3 linked regions of the Macaca fascicularis genome follow. The protein of the gene in region 3 binds, or shares a complex with, the protein of the main gene of each other region. Links are inferred from orthologs where the notes say so. Each region holds a gene or a part of one and is shown on either strand. Other genes may lie near its edges. The genes, in order: NDUFAF1, ECSIT and COA1.

Region 1 (4,722 bases), on a different chromosome or scaffold from region 3:
TTGGGAGGCCTAGGCATGAGAATTGCTTGAACCCAGGAGGCAGAGGTTGCAGTGAGCGGAGATCGTGCCACTGCACTCCAGCCTGGGTGACAGAGTAAGACTTCACCTCAAAAAAAAAAAAAAAAAAAAAAAAAATTAGCTGGGAATGGTGCTGGGCACCTGTAACCCCACCTACTCGGAGGGCAGAGGCAGGAGAATCACTTGAACCTGGGAGGCAGAGGCTGCAATGAGCCAAGACTGCGCCATCGCACTCCAGCCTGGGCAACAAAAGTGAAACTCCGTCTCAAAAAAATACATATACAAAAATTAGCTGGGTGTGGTGGCAGGTACCTATAGCATGGTGGCAGGCACCTATAATCCCAGCTACTTGGGAGGCTGAAGCAGGAGAATCGCTTGAACCCAGGAGTGGGAGGTTGCAGTGAGCCAAGATCAGGTCACTGCACTCCAGCCTGGGTGACAGAGCAAGACTCTGTCTAAAAAATAAACAAATAAATAAATAAATAAAAATAAAAAATTGTAAGACCAGGCGCAGTGGCTTATGCCTGTAATCCCGACACTTTGGGAGGCCAAGGCGGGTGGATGACAAGGTCAGGAGTTCGAGGCCAGCTTGACCAACATGGAGAAACCCCATCTCTACTAAAAATACAAAATTAGCCGGGTGTGGTGGTGCATGACTGTAATCCCAGCTACTCAGGAGGCTGAGGCAGGAGAATCGCATGAACCCAGGAGGTGGAGGTTGTGGTGAGCCAAGATCACGCCATTGCACTCCAGCCTGGACCACAAGAGCAAAACTCCATCTAAAAAAAAAAAAAAGATAGAGATGAGGTCTTGCTAGGTTGCTCAGACTGGTCTCCAGCTCCTGGGTTCAAGTGATCCTCCTGCCTCAGCCTCTGGAGTACCTGGGATTACAGGCATGAGCCACTGCACCTGATGAATACTACTCCCAATACTTTTTTTTTTTTTTTTTTTTTTTTGAGACAGAGTCTCACTCTGTAACCCAGGCTGGAGTGTGGTGGCGCGATCTCAGCTCACTGAAGCTCCACCTCCCGGGTTCACGCCATTCTCCTGCCTCAGCCTCCCAAGTAGCTGAGACTACAGGTACCCAACACCACACCTGGCTAATTTTTTTTTTTCTTTTTTGTATTTTTAGTAGAGACGGGGTTTCACCGTGTTAGCCAGGATGGTCTCAATCTCCTGACCACGTGATCCGCCTGCCTTGGCCTCCCAAAGTGCTGGGATTACAGGCGTGAGCCATAGCGCCCAGCCCACTCCTAATACTTTCAAATCACCCTGATATATATTATCTCATGCCATCCACACACAAATCCTATGAAGTCAGGTAGACATTTCCTTTCTATAGGATACAGACACCAATAGGTAAAATGACATTATCCATTTTTTTTTTTTTTTTTTTTGAGACAGAGTCTTGCTCTGTCACCAGGCTGGATATCTTGGCTCACCACAATCTCCGCCTCCTGGGTTCAAGCAATTCTCTTGTCTCAGCCTCCAGAGTAGCAGGGATTACAGACCGGCGCCACCATGCCTGGCTAATTTTAATTTTTGTTTTTTGTTTTTTTTTCAGTAGAGATGAGGTTTCGCCGTGTTGGCCAGACTGGTCTTGAACTCCTGACCTCAGGTGATGCGCCCATGTGGGCCTCCCAAAGTGCTGGGATTACAGGCATCAGCCACCACGCCCGACCTTTTTTTTTTTTTTTTTTTGAGATGGAGTCTGGCTCTGTCACCCAGGCTGGAGTGCAATGGCACGATCTTGGCTCACTGCAACCTCTGCCTCCCGGGTTCAAGTGCTTCTCCTGCCTCTGCTTCCCGAGTAGCTGAGATTACAGGTGCCCACCACCACGACCAGCTTTTTTTTTTTTTTAAGACAGAGTCCAGCTTTGTCACCCAAGTTGGAGTGCAGTTGCGCGATCTCGGCTCACTGTAACCTCCACCTCCTGGTTTCAAGCAATTCTCTTGCCTGAGCCGCTGGAATTACAGGTGTGCGCCACCACTCCCAGCTAATTTTTGTATTTTTAGTAGAGACAGGGTTTCACCATGTTGGCCAAGCTGGTCTCGAACTCCTGACCTCAAGTGATCCGCCCACCTTGGCCTCCCAAAGTGCTGGGATTACAGGCGTGAGCCACCGCGCCCAGCCGACATTATCAATAAGGTTTGCTAATAAATCAAAATCATGTAAACAGTATGTTTTCACATGTATTATAAACGTAAAGGAACCAGGAAAAATTAACAGTTGATCTGAGATCCTGCAATTATGGATAATATTTAAATTCCCCCGCGCCGGTTGCACTTAAATGATTTACACATTTAAGTTACAAAATTATTTACCTCTACACATACAGAAATTTTAGAAACAAATGATAGCTCATAAAATATTTTGCAAACCCTCCGTAGTGTTATTTCTCTAGTAATATAACTTTAATTATAAATGCTTTGTTTCATTTTTTTTTTCTACCAGTAAATAGAAAATCTAACCTATTAACTGAACAATACCGCCCTGAGGTTGACGGTGGGTTTTGACAACATAATCCACGCAGCTAGAAGTGAGTCGAATTAGTAAAGATATCCACGGCTTACCATGTGCCAGAAACTGCTCTAAGGGTTTCACTGACGGCTCACAACAATCCTCAGAGAGGAACTATTATTATTTCAATTATGGAGACGAGGAAACCGACGTTTCAAGACTAATTTACCCGAGGTCACTGAGGTAGTGAGTGGCAAAACTCTTCCGCCTTGGCGTTTACCTCCGGCACTCACGGCCTGGCCTCCGAAGGCTAGACCTTCGCCGCGGTGGGGAGGCCCCGCAACCCTCAACTGCCAGGGCTCTGTCGCCTCCCCACACCCGGGACACATCAAACGCCGACCTACCACCGCTTACCTCCCCGAGCCTATGGTGTGGCTTCCAACCAGAAGCCACTTTTCACTTATAGGTCCATCTGTTTTTCCCTTCCGATGCCAAACAAGGCGTCAGAACACTAAAGTTCCGGCCGGGTACAGAAGCCCAGGAAGGAGAGCAAGGACCCGGTAGTCCAGCCAACTGAGGTTTTTGGAGGTTTTTGGTCCACTTGGTCGCCAGTTGTAAGGAAGTAGTGAGGATTCGGATAAGTTTTTCGCCTCTCCTTTCTGTATCCTTTCGGGCGGCAACTCTATCTCTGCGTCTTTTTTTTTTTTGAGACGGAGTCTCTGTCGCTAGGCTGAGTGCAGTGGCACCGTCTCGGCTCACTACAACTTCCGCCTCCCGGGTTCGAGCGATTCTCCTGCCTCAACCTCCCGAGTAGTTGGGATTACAGGTGTACGCCATCAAGCCCGGCTAATTTTTTTATTTTTAGTAGAGGCGGGGTTTCACCATGTTGGCCAGGATGATCTCGATCACCTGACCTCGTGATCCACCCGCCTCAGCCTCCCAAAGTGCTGAGATTACAGGCGTGAGCCACCGCGCCCCGCCTCCTATAGAACCCAGTTATTGCTAACGCACCTGCGCCCCCACTTGGCGCCTGTATCCCTTCTTTCCTTATCTGTCCCCTCAGTCTCCACAAGAACTACCTGAGGCCTCAAGAGGCCGGTTCTACTGGAATTGCCCCCATGAATTCTTGAGGACCCACCATGCACCTGGACAGCAGCACCTCCTACCAGCCCTTCCCCAGTCCTGCCCCACAGGGTCGCCAGTTCCTCAGGCCATCTGTTTGTACCTTGTGCACACCTCTGGTAAAGCACTTTCTTTTTTCTTTTTTTTTCTTTCTTTTTTTTTTTTTTTTTTTTTTTTTTTGAGACGGTGGAGCCTCACTCTGTTGCCCAGGCTGGAGTGCAGTGGCGCGATCTGCAACCTCCGACTCCTGGGTTGGAACAGTTCTCCTGCCTCAGCCTCCCGAGTAGCTGGGATTACAGGTGTGTGCCACCACACCCGGCTAATTTTTGTATTTTTAGTAAAGACAGGGTTTCGCCATGTTGGCCAGGCTGGTCTTGAACTCCTGACCTCATGATCCACCCACCTCGGCCTCCCAAAGTGCTGGTATTACAGGCGTAAGCCACCGTGCCAGGCCAAAGCACTTAAACATTGTTTGTTTGGTTTTTTTTCTTGCTGCCAGGGAAGACAGAATCAACACTGTAGCTTAATTATTCACTCACTTCTCACTTCCTCCGCCACGCTGTGAGCTTTCTTGGGTCCAGACTGCGCTGTTTTTCCTTAAGCAGAATGTCCCATAGCGGCGGGAATTTAGTGCTCAGTGTGAATTTGAGAGCATGTACTTCGGTAACACCTTTGTTCTCTAAGGTTCCAAAGGAGCTCGCCAAAACAATAGCCCTTTCCATGTTTTCTCCATCACTAGTTTCTGGGCCGCCTCCTCTTCCTCAAATTCTGCTTGGCTTCTCTAGACTCTACAGTTGCTTCCTCAAACCTTCCCTTTCTGCCCCCATCACTGACTCTTCTATTATCTTCCCACAACCTTTAATGCGGGCTGTCTCCATGGCCCATCCTGCACCTACTTGTTTTCTAGTTTGAAAAATATAAGTTATCGGCCAGGCGCGATGACTCACGCCTGTAATCCCAGCACTTTGGGAGGCCGAGGCGGGCGGATTGCAAGGTCAGGAGATCGAGACCATCCTGGCTAACACGATGAAACCCCGTCTCTACTAAAAATACAAAAATTAGCTGGGCGTGGTGGCGGGCGCCTGTAGTCCCAGCTACTCAGGAGGCTGAGGCAGGAGAAT
Region 2 (3,862 bases), on a different chromosome or scaffold from region 3:
GGGACTGTTCTACACATTTTACAACCACCCAAAGTTAGGTTTATGCCCATAATCCTAGTGCTTTGGGAGGCCAAGGCAGGCGGATCACCTGAGGCCAGGAGTTTGAGACCAGCCAGGCCAACATAGCAAAACCCTATCTCTACTAAAAATACAAAAAATTAGCCGGGCGTGGTGGCAGGTGCCTGTAGTCCCAGCTACTCGGGAGGCTGAGGCAGGAGAATAGCTTGAACCCAGGAGGCGGAGGCTATAGTGAGTCAAGATCACGCCACTGCACTCCAGCCTGAGCAACAAGAGAAAAACTCCATCTCAAAAATAAAAAAATTTAAAAAAATTAGCGGGGCATAGTGGTGTACACCCTTAGACCAAGCTACTTGGGAAACTGAGGTGGGAAGATCACTTGAGCCCAGGAGTTCAGGCCTACAGTGAACTATGATCGTGCCACCGTACTCCAACATGGATGACAGAGAGGGAGACCCCATCTCTATAAAAGAAAAAAAAAGCCGGGCGCGGTGGCTCAAGCCTGTAATCCCAGCACTTTGGGAGGCCGAGACGGGTGGATCACAAGGTCAGGAGATCGAGACCATCCTGGCTAACACGGTGAAACCCCGTCTCTACTAAAAAAATACAAAAAAATTAGCCGGGCGAGGTGGCGGGCGCCTGTAGTCCCAGCTACTCGGGAGGCTGAGGCAGGAGAATGGCGGGAACCCGGGAGGCGGAGCTTGCAGTGAGCTGAGATCGCACCACTGCACTCCAGCCTGGGCGACAGAGCGAGACTCCGTCTCAAAAAAAACAAAAAAATAATAATAATTGGAATTAAGTGCTATTATCATCCCTATTGTGCATCTGAAAAAACTGAGGCACACAGGTACAGTGACTTGGCCGAGGTCACATAGCTTGTGACAGAGTCAGGATTTTGACACATGTGGGCTGGCTCCAGGGTGGTTCCCTCAGGGTGAGCATCCTAAAGGTTGGTGGCTATTGCCAAATGGGACAGAGGGACAAGGGGACAGGTTGGAGGACCATGTACCAGATCCAGGAAAGGTGTCCTAAATTCGCTGATATCCCCCTTTCTGTTTCTCTGTCTCCAGTTCCTCTGTAGGGGATTGGGGGTTACAAGATTACATCCCTACTTTCCCTTGCAGGTTCCTTTGCCCAAAGACTCAACAGGTGCAGCAGATCCCCCCCAGCCCCACATCGTAGGTAAGTCCGCAAGCATAGGGGCGGCCAGGTCTCTAACCTGACCCAGGCCCTGCTGGACCTAAGCTGGGCTCCCTGAGCCTTTGGGCAGAGTCCCTCACAGGGCACAGGGCATGTATATCTCCACACCAGGAATCCAGAGTCCCGATCAGCAGGCTGCCCTGGCCCGCCACAACCCTGCCCGGCCCATCTTTGTCGAGGGCCCCTTCTCCCTGTGGCTCCGAAACAAGTGTGTGTATTACCACATCCTCAGAGCTGACTTGCTGCCCCCGGAGGAGAGGGTGAGGGCTTAAAGCAAAGCATGTGTCGGGCCTGGGGAGTGGGGCTGGCACCACCCTGAGGGTGCATGGGAGAGGCTGGGGGAGGGAGACTACGAGAGCCCCGGCCTCTGACCCTCCTGCCTGCACTCCCCTCTTTGGAGTAGGAAGTGGAAGAGACCCCGGAGGAGTGGAACCTCTATTACCCGATGCAGCTGGACCTGGAGTATTCGAGGAGTGGCTGGGATGACTACGAGTTTGACATCAATGAAGGTAGAAACTGGGCCTGGTGCGGTGGGTGTGCCTGTAATCTCAGCCCTCCGACAGGCTGAGGTGGGAGGATCACTTGAGCCTGGGAGCTGAGGTTGCAGTGAATTATGATTGAGCCACTGCACTCTGGCCTGCGTGATAGACCCTGTCTCTTAAAAAAAAAGAAAAAAAAAAAAAAGGCAAAAACCTGGACAGGCAGGACTTCCAAACATTCCAAACACCACCCAGGATGAGGGGCGGCCTCTGGGGTCAAGGAGTAGGCCCAGGCTGAGATGCAGTCCACTTACCCCCTCATCCTCCCGCCACACACTCTCATTTGCCTCAGGGGCTCCAGACCTCAGGCCACTCAGCCCTGTCGGCCCTTGGTCATTCCCTCCCTCCACACCTCTGTGCTGGCTACTGGGTGTCACCAGGGCAAACCTAGTCCCTTGAGTCAGTAAGGGAACAGGCAAATTACACTTTGGGGAGCTTAGGAGAGGAACGTGCCTTGAGTGGGAGGTCAGGAGGGCTTCCTAGCAGAATCTAGAAGACCCAGGAGGCATCGCTTGGGTGAAGTGTGGAGTGGGCAGCCTAGGCAGCAGGGCTAGCTTGTGCAAAGGTTTGGAGGCACAAGAAAGTGGAAGGAAGCCGGGTGCAGTGGCTCAGGCCTGTAATCCCAGCACTTTGGGAGGCTGAGACGGGTGGATCATTTGAGGTCAGGAATTTGAGACCAGTCTGGCCAACATAGTGAAACCCCATCTCTACTAAAAATTTAAAAATTAGCCGGGCGTGGTGCTGTGCGCCTGTAGTCCCAGCTCCTCTGGAGGCCAAGGCAGGAGAATCACTTGAACCTGGGAGGCGGAAGTTGCAGTGAGCCGAGATCTCGCCACTGCACTCCGGCCTGGGCGACACAGCGAGACTCCATCTCAAACAAAAAAGAAAGTGGAAGGGAGTGTAAAATACCTCAAAAAGGTGTAGGCATGGGTTAGCCGCTGCAGCCCCCACTGTGCAAATCCTGAGGGTGTATCTCTTCCAACAGTGGAGGAAGGCCCTGTCTTCGCCATGTGCATGGCGGGTGCCCATGACCAGGCGACGCTGGCCAAGTGGATCCAGGGCCTGCAGGAGACCAATCCAACTCTGGCCCAGATCCCCGTGGTCTTCCGCCTGACCCGGGCCACCGGGGAGCTCCACACATCCTCTGCAGGGCTGGAGGAACCGCCCCCGCCCGAGGACCACGAGGAAGACGACAGCCGGCAGCGACAGCAGCAGGGCCAGAGCTGAGTCTGAGCGGGCGTGAGGGCACAGGCTGTGGCCCGAGGCGGCGGTGGACTGAAGGCATGAGATGCCCTTTGAGTGTACAGCAAATAAATGTTTTCCTGCTTGGGGCTCCCTTCCCTCCTCTCTGGCAGTGTAGCATTCCCTCCCCAGGATCTCAGGCTGCCAGCGATGGGCAGGCGAGACCCCTCCAGGATCTGCAGGCTCTTCTGGTTCTCCCCCTTCAAGCGAAGTTAGAAAGTTTAATCAAAAAGGGGTGGGGGCGCTGTTGGTTGTGCACATGCGCAGTTTCCGTTCTTAGTCTCCTTTTGGCGCCCCAGGGCAGCGAGAGACCGTGAGAAATTTCTCGGCGGCGCTGAAGATGCGCGCCACTTCCGGTCCGGCTCCTAACAACGGGGGAGGCTGGTAACCAAGGTGGGGGGGATGGCGGAGCGGGCGCCGGAGCCCGAGGCGGAGGCGGAGGCTGAGGCGGGCGCGGGCGGGGAGGCAGCAGCCGAGGAGGGCGCAGCGGGCCGAAAGGCGCGGGGCCGGCCGCGACTCACGGAGTCGGACCGGGCCCGGCGACGGCTCGAGTCCCGGAAGAAGTACGACGTGCGGCGCGTGTACCTGGGCGAGGCGCACGGGCCCTGGGTGGACCTGCGGCGCCGCAGCGGCTGGAGCGACGCCAAGCTCGCCGCCTACCTCATCTCTCTGGAGCGCGGCCAGCGAAGCGGCCGCCACGGGTGAGGGGGCCTGGCCCCAAAGGAGGGAGGGAGGAGATGCCCCCAGCCCCTGCCGGGCTTTGCCCCGCCCCTCCGCCTTGAGGCCCTGCCCCCGGCACCTGCGGGCCCCGCCCAGGAGCCGGACCGCCGGCCTGGGTCTCCGACTGCCAGGCCGGGACGCGC
Region 3 (4,499 bases):
AAAAATACTTTTACTACTGGCTGGGCGCAGTGGCTCACACCTATAATCCCAACACTTTGGGAGGCCAAGGCGGTGAGGTCAGTAGTTCCAGACCAACCTAGTCAACATGGTGAAACCCCGTCTCTACTAAAAACACAAAAATTAGCTGGGAGTGGTGGCAGCCTCCTGTAATCCCAGCTACTCAGGAGGCTGGGGCAGGAGAATCACTTGAACCCAGGAGGCAGAGGTTGCAGTAAGCTGAGATCACACCATTGCACTCCAGTCTGGGTACCAAAGCGAAACTCCATCTCAAAAAAAAAAAAAATATATATATATATATATATATATACACACACACACACACATATGTATATAACTACTACTGCCTTTTAACCAATAAAATTTTTAAAAAATTACAATGTTAACAGGATTTTATAAAACTAATTTTTCCAACACGCCCCAAACAATACAGAACACAATAGTTACACTCAACCTCTGCATACATTAAATCTTCAAATAAATACCTGCTAGTATGAAAAAAGTACCTAATATTTGGTGACCAACTGTCCAATATGGCTCTCACAAATCTAATGCAGTATATGAAACATGAACAAGAGAATAAAAGAATAACTTCTTAGAGTCTGTTTAAAGTAGAGAGTTAAATGAACAAAGTTGAAGCAGATCATGGCATATTTTTCGAGGCAGAGAGACAGGGAGGCACCAATGTCTGAAACAATGAACACTATTAGGCTAAACATAACACCAGGGACTCAGATGTCACACTAACTGGGAAGTACTATGTCAGTTTCTCTAACTCCTATAATTAAAGAACAATATTCTAAACTACTGGCCAGAAGGCTTTTAGAGGAAAAGTCCTGACTACACAAAAATGTAAAACAACAGTATAGTAAAAAAGATAAAACAAAGTTAACTAAATAGATTGAAGATATCTGCCACATACCTAACAGTCAATGGCTTAATATTCCTGCATGAAGAAACTCCTAAAAATCAATAAAGACAGATAAAACTCAATACGCAATGGCAAATTACAAAGTTTCCCCTTGCTTCATTTTTCGAGTCTTAAAACACTCCTCACAGGTTCTTTCACAGCATTTTTCCTGGGCCTGGCCTCCCATGTAGCTGTCGGAAAACCATCACTCTCTAAACTACAATCACACACCCACAAGGAGGTCTCCAAGGCTACTAAAAGTTAATCTCATGTGCTTTTCATCTAAAAGAACGGTAGCATAATCTAAAAGACTGTCACATATCTGATAAATGACTTGTATCTAGAATATATAAAGAACTCTTGCAACTCAATTACAAAAAAGAACCTAATTTAAAAATGGGCAAAGGATCTGAGCAGACATTTCTCCAAAGAAGATACATAAATGGGCAATAAGCACTTGAAAAGATGCTCAACATCATTAGCCATCAGGGAAACGCGATTTGAAACCACAATATTTTCAAAAAGTTAGGAGATTTTTAATGGTTGCAACACAAAGAAAAGATGAATGTTTGAGGTGATGGACATGCTAATTATCTCATTTGATCATTACACATTGTATACATTTATCAAAATAACATTCTGTAGTCCCTAAATATGTACAATTACTACATGTCAACGAAACAAAAAATGAAAACACGATGACACACACTTCACACCCACTAGAATGGCCAGAATCAGAAAGACAGATAATGACAAGTGTTGGCAAGGAGTGAGAAATCAAAACCCTAATACACTACTGGTGAGAATGTTAAAAAGATGCACACTGATGCTTTGGAAAACAGTCTGACCGTTTCTTAAAATGTTAAACAGAGATACCATATGACCCAGCCATTTCACTCCTAGGCACATATGCAAGAGAAATGAAAACATGGTATGTCCACACAAAAACCTGTAGGTGAATGTTCACAGCAGCATTATACATAATAGCCAAAAGGTGGAAACAATCCAAACGTCCACTAACTAATGGAAAATAAATCGTGGTAATACCTATAAAATAAAAGATTAACCAGCAATTAAAGAAGTACTGACACATGCTATTAAATACAACACAGACGAACATGAATGTTAAGTAAAAGAAGCCAGCTGAAAAAGACCACATGCTGTATGATTTCACTCACATGAATAATCCAGAACAGTCAAATATACAGTCAGTCAATTCATAGTTGCTTAGGGCTTAGAATGGGGAGTGGGGATGGGGAAGTCAGGTGAGCCTGCTGAATCAGTACAGGGTTTCTTTTTGGAGTGATGAAAATGTTCGAAAATTGTTCCAATATGGCTCTCACAAACTGAATGCAGCACATTAAACATGAACAAAAGAATACAAGAATAACTTACTGCAGTCTGTCTGAAATAGACTTAATAAAATTAAACCAACTAATGAAGTTGAAGAAGATTACAGCATATTTTGTGATGATGGTTGTACAACCTTGTGAATGTACTAATTACTTTTAGGTTTGGTTTTTTGTTTTTTATTTTTTATTTTTTTTTTGAGACGGAGTCTAGCTCTGACGCCCAGGCTGGAGTGCAGCGGCGCGATCTCAGCTCACCGCAAGCTCCGCCTCCCGGGTTCATACCATCCTCCTGCCTCAGCCTCCTGAGTAGCTGAGACTACAGGCGCCAGCCACCACGCCCGGCTAATTTTTTGTATTTTTAGTGGAGACGGGGTTTCACCGTGTTAGCCAGAATGGTCTCGATCTCCTGACCTCGTGATCCGCCCACCTCAGCCTCCCAAAGTGCTGGGATTACAGGCGTGAGCCACCGCTACATTTTAAATGGTGAATTCTATGGTGGGTGAACTATGTGTCAGAAAGTTGTTTTATTTTTTTAAAGGACTGAAGACTTTTGTTTTGTTTTGTTTTCATTTTATCCCGTTTTTTAAAACAGTGCCTAGCAATATTATGAATTCAATCGATTTTGGCTAAATGTTAAAACAAAAATAAAAACTTGGGTAAACCATATGAAACTTTGCCGTATCTAAAGTTATTAAATTACTGTAAACTGGCATGGTGGGAGCATAATATGAGTGTACCTGCAGGTGTGTTTTCCATGAAAGTAGCAAAGACTGAAAAATTCAGCAGAATCAAGACCCCGAAGGCCCCTTAAGTTAGGCTAAGAAATGTGTATTATCCTGAAGGCAACGGGAAGTCCAGGAAGATTCTGAGGACAGAAATAACACAATCAGATATGTTTTAAACGTGCAAGTGTAAGCGAAGAGTTGCTACTTCTATCCAAAAGTGAGGCACCATTTCCCCCAGGGGAAAATGGGAAGGAATTAGGGGAAGACTGGAGAAACAGGTTATCAAATTATCAGAATCTCCATAGATTTTTAAAAATTACACAGCATCCACCCCAAACACACATACAGACTGACAGGCACTGATACATACATCCAATGTCCCCTACACAGAAACTCACTTTTGTAGTCAGCTCCTGTTGGTAGGGTTTTTCTGTCATTCAAGTGTGGCGGGGACAAAAAGTATTATAACCACTAAACCAGATAATTCTTTCCTACAATAATGTGGGCAGCGTACTCCCCAGGTGTTGAAATTTAGTACTACCAACAAAAGTACCCAGTCCCAACTCTTCGAGAGGACCCCAACTCTTTACAGTGTGCTGTTGGGGATGCCCAGCAAAAACTGCAGGACAAAGTCAACGTTAGCTCGACACAGTCTCCTAACTCCAAGCGGACGGAGCCAGCGCGGGTTACCAGGAGCCAAAGAAGCAGCGCAGGGAGGTCGCGACCCGGAGCCGGCGCGAACCTCCGCGATGTGACCCGTGAGGGAACTCTCCAAGCAGCAGAGCACCCCGCGCGCGAAGGCGGCCGCCCGGATTGCAGGAACAAACGCTTCTCGCTGGCGGGGGAAGACGGAGACTCTTACTGCCGCAGGAGACTAACCTGTGAGCAACAGAACCACCACGCTGTGGAGAGTGAGCAGTTCTTCCAGGCGTGGGGGGAGCACGGGTAAATGACCGCGGTACGGCGCGCCAGCGGGGAGCAGTCGAGACTTCCGGCGTCTGCAGCTCGCAGGGCTAGAGCGTCGAATCGGGGCAACCGGAGGCTTCAGCTCACACCGGATTGTAAATGCTAACGCGGGTCTTCGGGCCGGCGGATCCAGGACTTAGGTCGCCGGGACTTGTGGCTTCTGCTTCTCAGACGTTCGGACTCGCGCTGGGAAGGGGTTCGCCTCCCCTGGTCCCCGCTTTTTTTTTTTTTTTTCTGCGTCCGGTTATTGCAAATGCATTCAGTCCAGTAGCACTAACCCAGGAAATTTAAGCACCGGCTCACGTTATTTCTCGCAGGTATGTGGCGCTTCCGCTGGCCTCTAAGGACACAAAGCCCCGGGCCGTCTGACCCCCACTCCAGCACTGAAATCCATGCCGCCCCGTTCAGCTGACAAATTTGGCAGCACTAAATTTTATTTTATTCTACAAATTGAGTGCCCAGTTAACACCAGGGAGTACCGGGGTAAGAAAATTTCAGAAGTCAGGTGGATAATAATAGCATTTACCT

The links.
Region 1: COA1 (region 3) and NDUFAF1 share a complex: the UniProt entries of both Homo sapiens proteins name them as parts of the mitochondrial complex. The link is inferred for Macaca fascicularis from reciprocal best matches to the Homo sapiens genes COA1 and NDUFAF1.
Region 2: COA1 (region 3) and ECSIT share a complex: the UniProt entries of both Homo sapiens proteins name them as parts of the mitochondrial complex. The link is inferred for Macaca fascicularis from reciprocal best matches to the Homo sapiens genes COA1 and ECSIT.

The regions. Positions count from the first base shown.
Region 1 is NC_088381.1:17,949,152-17,953,873, forward strand, and holds the start of NDUFAF1 (complex I intermediate-associated protein 30, mitochondrial), read right to left. Parts: upstream 2,950-4,722; 5' UTR 2,894-2,949; exon of another isoform or gene 2,593-2,893; intron 1-2,592. UniProt on the Homo sapiens protein: As part of the MCIA complex, involved in the assembly of the mitochondrial complex I.
Region 2 is NC_088393.1:12,072,454-12,076,315, reverse strand, and holds the end of ECSIT (evolutionarily conserved signaling intermediate in Toll pathway, mitochondrial), read left to right. Parts: intron 1-1,142; coding exon 1,143-1,200; intron 1,201-1,329; coding exon 1,330-1,478; intron 1,479-1,621; coding exon 1,622-1,727; intron 1,728-2,742; coding exon 2,743-2,984; 3' UTR 2,985-3,088; downstream 3,089-3,862. Other genes in the region: ZNF653 (zinc finger protein 653), read left to right, coding at 3,402-3,700.
Region 3 is NC_088377.1:86,524,220-86,528,718, reverse strand, and holds the start of COA1 (cytochrome c oxidase assembly factor 1 homolog), read right to left. Parts: upstream 3,085-4,499; 5' UTR 3,037-3,084; coding exon 3,018-3,036; intron 1-3,017. UniProt on the Homo sapiens protein: Component of the MITRAC (mitochondrial translation regulation assembly intermediate of cytochrome c oxidase complex) complex, that regulates cytochrome c oxidase assembly.